Danio rerio: one gene and its partner. Each later gene encodes a partner of the first gene's protein in a complex. Links are inferred from orthologs where the notes say so. Each region holds a gene or a part of one and is shown on either strand. Other genes may lie near its edges.

What was found. Proteins that work in one complex are often made in the same cells at the same time.
Region 2: tox4a (region 1) and wdr82 share a complex: the UniProt entries of both Homo sapiens proteins name them as parts of the PNUTS-PP1 phosphatase complex. The link is inferred for Danio rerio from reciprocal best matches to the Homo sapiens genes TOX4 and WDR82.

Annotation. Positions count from the first base shown.
Region 1 is NC_133177.1:41,094,624-41,098,144, reverse strand, and holds part of tox4a (TOX high mobility group box family member 4-B), read left to right. Parts: intron 1-1,085; coding exon 1,086-1,166; intron 1,167-1,249; coding exon 1,250-1,975; intron 1,976-3,521. UniProt on the Homo sapiens protein: Transcription factor that modulates cell fate reprogramming from the somatic state to the pluripotent and neuronal fate. In liver, controls the expression of hormone-regulated gluconeogenic genes such as G6PC1 and PCK1.
Region 2 is NC_133181.1:44,014,750-44,017,300, reverse strand, and holds the end of wdr82 (WD repeat-containing protein 82), read right to left. Parts: intron 2,464-2,551; coding exon 2,394-2,463; intron 2,306-2,393; coding exon 2,163-2,305; intron 738-2,162; coding exon 708-737; 3' UTR 510-707; downstream 1-509. UniProt on the Homo sapiens protein: Regulatory component of the SET1/COMPASS complex implicated in the tethering of this complex to transcriptional start sites of active genes.

The sequences.
Region 1 (3,521 bases):
AGCGCACATTTTCAAAGGAGAATAACAGACTTGAATTCTTGTTTTTCAGATAAACAAGTGTTCACTTATGCAGAGTTCAGATTTGCATGAATAACAAGCGTTCACTTATGCAGAGTACAGATTTGCATGATTTTTTTAAAGTAGTCGCATCATGGATGTTTTCACACTGCATGACTATCAGGGGCAGCATTCTGTCAGTGCTGTTTACACAGCAAGATGGATCGGCGACAGGGGGTTTCAAACCACATGACTTTACAATAGTAGAAATCGGCGGCAACTTTTGTCTTGGTCTGCAAACTACATTTCACAACCAAACACGCGAGATCAAGTTAAGTAGTATATCTATAGTCGATAATTAGATCAAAAGAGAAAGACGCCTTTAGTGGGGTAGAAAATGTACTTATTTTGCTCACATGACTTTTGAAGGGAATTTGCTATTTCTTCTCAACATTTTCTTTTTCGACCTGGTTGTGATATTGCTCTGACACGTCCAACAGACACGAGTGCTCTTCCAAATTTCTACTAGTTTTCCTCTATTTGTTGGGTCCAAATAGATGGAAAATAAGTGCTTTTAACTTCTCCCCCAACCTCTCACTGACCCTCAGATACCCATACTAGTGGATGCTGCTCTCTCATTGGCTGTAGGTGATCGCCGATGTAATTTTCAATCAGAACACATTTCACACGGCTTGATTATAGATTACCGACAGCTCCACATATTTAGCATGTCAAATATCTCACAGGTGTCAGCGACTCGTCTGCAATTCTCTCAGATCTTGTCTTTGATAGTTCATACTCTGTGATTGTTACAAGGCATTTGTCGGCGATTTCACAAAACCTGTTGGCGAGTCAAAATCAGAGCTAAAATCATGCAACTCGGCATTAGCATGTTTCTTAAATATCTGCAGATGTGTTATGGTATTTTTATGATTTAAAAAAAAATCAAAACCTTACATACAACATTTTTAATTTTATTAGTGGTTTGTCACTTCACTAAATGATTTAAGACACATGGTGTAAAAGCCTTTGTTGTACCATTTAAGAGTTTGTGTCATTTTTAATTTTCATTTTATTAATTTTCGCAGGTTTACAAGAGGAAGACAGAGGCAGCTAAGAAAGACTATTTGAAAGCGTTAGCGGCCTACAGAGCAAGTCAGCTCTCGAAAGTGAGTGTCTAATTTCTAGCCTGTCAGTTTCTGATTTGCACATTTATCTGATATTACTTATTTTTTCAACGTCTTTCATCCAGTCATCTTCTGAGCTTGAAGACAGCGCTCCTGCCACTCCTCCCTCTATGCCATCTCCTGCCCCCATCCACACTCCTCCTGCTGCCCCCATCCGTCCTCGGCTGACCCCCATCACTGAACAGAACACAATCACCAACATATGCGCCTCCAATATCATCCTGGACCTGCCTCAGGTCACCACTCGCTCCCGCACAGGCTCTCTACCTGTAGCCATTGGTCAAGCTCCAGCACCAAGCCCCGCCCCGACGCCCACTGTCACCAAAATCATCATCTCTAAGCAGATGCTTCAAGGAGGCGCTCAGCTCCACCAGATCCCAACATCCATGGTCACGGTGATTCCAGCTGGTGTGCGAGCCGTACAGCCTGGACGGCAGCCGCCACCTCTGCAGCAGATGCAGGGCACACCGCCTCCACCCCGCCTGCAGCAGATGGTGCAAACACAAGCCCCTCCGCCTCTTCAGGCCAAACCCCGTGGAGGAGCAGGCAGTTCTGTGGGCATCACCGTTACTCCACCTCCACCTCTCCAGATAAAGATCGTGCCCGCTTCAATACACTCTGACCTGTCTACTCCGATTATTGTTACTACAGCAGCGAGCGCCACTCCTGTGATTTCCGCATCCAGCATCTCAGCCGCAGATGATCCTGCTCCCGTTGAGGTGCAAGTGGAGGAACCCAGAGAGGAGCTGCACACCGGGACAGATGAGGCTGTGACAGAGGAGCCTGAAGAGGTTTGCTTTCCCATATTTAAAGGGATGGTTCACACACAAATGAAAATGTCCTCTCCATTTATGCACTATTAAAGGGGTGGTCCACTATCATATAATATTTTAAGCTTTGGTTGATGTGTAATGTAGCTGTGTGAACATAAACATCATCTCTAAATGTAATGCGCTCAAAGTTCAATGCAAAGGGAGATGTTGGCTTTTACAGAGTTAGCTTAGCAAAGCCTACAGCAAAAGTTTGGGGACTACAAACAATACATCTGGGTTAGTGAGATCACATACACTTCAGGTTAGGCACATTCACCCTGCACAGTGAAGGGGCATGGTCGGAGGCGCTGTAATGTTATAGCAGAGAAGGCTAAAATGCCATGCAAATGCTGCTATTTCCACAGAGCATCTTCTGTTTCTGTATTTGAGCTTCCAAAGGGCATGGCACAAAGAGAGAAGTGCTTACAATTTAATTTTAATTATGTTCCAGGCAATTATGATAAAGATATAGCTAGCATTTGACAAGGGAGAGCATCCAGAATCTCTCACAGTTCAGTGCTGGATTCGGCTAAAAACTCCTCAAAGGAGGAGCAGATCCAACCACTATATAAGAAGCTGTAGATTGTGAGCCACAACCTGTAAGTATTTTTATTTGTTAAAATTGATCTATGACATAGTGTCTAGCGTTAACAGTATGTTAAAGCAAGGGCTTAGACAAGGATATAAACAACAGGAAATGCTGTTTGGCACCGCTAAAAATTAAACTACAAATTCATATTTATCCGTCAAAATGCTGTGAACACCCACAACCTTCATCAGCACTGCAGTGTCTCTCAATGCAGACGCTTTCCCTGTGTTCTACATCTCAAATAACAAACTCACAAAAGATATGAGAACGTTTTATATTGCTTAAACATGCTTACAACCTAAATGTATGTAAAGTTTGTTCAGGCTGAAACTGATACGGCTAACAGCTACTCTGACAGTATTTACACAGCAAAGGCACAGCGTGTGCTATTAGAAGTGTGACGCTTTTCCTGTTGACATGGAGTCGATCTGCGAGTCACAGCACATTATGGCCCAATTCCAATTCTCCCCCTTAACCCTTCCCCTTACCCCTTCTTTTGTGCATTCAGGTGAATGGGTAGGGGTGGCCCAATTCTCTTTAGCTTAATAGCGTAGGGCTCAGGGGAAGGGCTTGATACCCCTTCAAAATGAGATTTTTCAGGACCACACTCGAAACCAAGGGGTAAGAAAATTTCCCAGAATACACCAGCCGCAACGGCAGTATAGCTGCACCAGAAGTCAGGAGATCCACAAATTAGTATTTATTTTGTCGTTATTACGAATTTTTACGACAAACAAGCATGTTTTAATATATTCATAACAGCATTTGTGTTTTACCGTCATGGTTTAAAAAACAAAAACACTAAAATAAAAACTGCTAATATCGCTATCTATTATCCCTAATCATAACTCCTGTATAGCAGTTACACAACATTCTGACTCTCGATGACACTCGAATCCCCTGTCAGATAAGTCTTGTGGTTGGGAATGAGCTCGT
Region 2 (2,551 bases), on another chromosome or scaffold:
TGGATTAAAAAATAAAACAAATTACAGTGACAACAAAGCTACAACTCATATAAATAAAATGTGTTGTTTTGTTAGTGCAAAGTAAGTTACAAAACAAGATGACGCTTCAGAGAGGCTGGTCAGTGTATACTGATTATAAAATTTGTTTTTATAAGCAATTTACAATGCTGATATTACAAAGAAATGCAACAGAAACAGGTAAAATAATGGTATAAAAGCAGTTCCCCTCAGACACAATTATACTGGACTACACACAACAGCTAGAAGCATTACATGTCTGAAAGGCCTCAAAACCAAATCTTTGGAAAGTTGTATAAACATGTTTATTAAAAAAAAAAAAGTTCCATTGACATTTTTTTTTTAGATCGCACAAGATGCTAAATCTACAGGTGCTGACTTCTGGTATAGTTTGGAGAGCTAAGATCAATTCTGCTGGATGTTTTACATCACCTCAGTTTCATTGAGCACTGTTACAACCTCAAACAAAACAGAATGTGTGAACAGATCACTTAATGTTTTACAAAAACTTTTTAATCATACAAATATAAAATGAAAAAAAAATAATAATAATAATACAACTCGGCATCAAGCCAAATCTATTTACAGTCCAAAATTCCCACGGTGAACATCTTCATGTGTGCCAAGAGAAGGGTGAATGACGCCACCTGCTGGAAGAACATCACAGGCCGACTGATGACAGCTGCCCATCAATCATCAATGGTGGGTAACCAGAACGCCTGTGCAGGGGACATTTCAGAATATGTTTGTGATATACATCAGGAATAATGATGCATCTATATACACCTTAATAAAATGGGAATGGCTGGTGATATTAACGTCCTGTTTGTGGCACAATAGTATGTGAGGGGGCTTGTAAATAACTCATGAAAGAATAAAATTGTTAAAAGCAAGCACATCATTGTTTTTTTTGTGTGAAATTCCCAATAAGTTTATTAAGGTGTGTCCATTTAAATGGCCCACCCTGTATGTGTATATAAATATAAATATATATATATATGGCCGTCAATTAGTGACTACTGCAGTATTTACACAAAGAAAACGCAGAAGATTTTAAGGACAATTTGACAACCCTGTGTACTCTTTTTATATCACATTTTCCCCATTCCATTTCTCCAATAATTACCATAAAAAATTAGCAGTGAATGCTACTGACTAAAATACCTTATACTAAAAAGGCTGTTTTATACAGTTGTTTTATGTTCATCTCTTAAGTTCTTTTTTTTTAAGTCTGCATCACAAGTCACAAAAATAAACAATAATAATAAAAGTAATACTTTAAAATGAGGCTAATATTTTTCTGATCTATTTACACAAACAAAAAACACATATGCTTAAATAATTGTTTTGAGTTTAACATTCACAGACTACAGTCCATAGCAATTTCCTTTTCATTCATTTAAATTCTGTGAATCTTTTATAGTAAATTATACTATCGATTAGATTGCACCATTTGACATTTTATTATTTTCAGAAAGCATAGAGTACTAAACGAATGCAAAGTAAAAAAAATGCCACTGAGATGAACAGGAATACTAAGGCATATACTGATGGCTGAAGGTCTGGGAACTTTGGCAGATTTCAATGGTTAAAGAACCACCCATGATGCCATTTCAGACTGACAGCTTTACCAACCAATAACCATTCGTTTTGTGTTGTGTCTTATGTATGTGCGTGGAAGAGTCTACAGAATGCCTAGCCATATGCGTCATCCATTCAGGTCTTCAAACGTTTACAACAACGCATCAATATACTTAATGATCTGTCAGCAAAACATATAGGAAATCAGTAGGAGATGTATGTGGACGCAGACTGAGATAAACATTGCAGCAGTTTTTTTATCCAATCAGACTTGTTTCCAGGTGGACTGGTTAATATTGCTGTACACTAGACTCCCAGAAATCAGAGGACAACTGATGATCTGTTAAAGTGTTTCCAATTAAGTGTGCCATATGCATCAGACATTTAGCCACATGTCCGTGAGCAGTGTTTGGCATGACATCTAAGACTAACTAATTCATAACTACCTCCAAGTTTCTCCCAAAACAAGTTTTGAAAATGTGACAAATTGCACATATTCCATCTACATATACAGTAAGTTATGCCAAACATCAGATTTGTGTCTACCTTCGGTTAAGTCTTACCATGTTAGAACAGGCACTGGCAAAGGTCATGAATTTGGGGTTAAACTGTAGACATGTAACAGGACCAGTGTGTTTCCCATCCAGAAGCGCTACTTTCATCCCACTCTCAGCATTCCACACATGGATCTTCCCATCTTCTGATCCTGGAAATGTTGAGGAGACACGATCAATCTCTGTAAACTCATCTTAAGTCCTTTTGTAGTCCTGTGAGAAGCTTAAGTGAAGACTTACCGATCATAATGAACTGAGAGTCTGGTGTGAAAGAAGCCTCCAAAATGACACCTTTACTGTTGTTATAACCCTGCAGTAAGAAAGAGAAACACTCTTAAAAGTGCCTTATTATGCTTTTTTCTAATATAATCATAAATGCTTTGTAATAATTAGGCTAT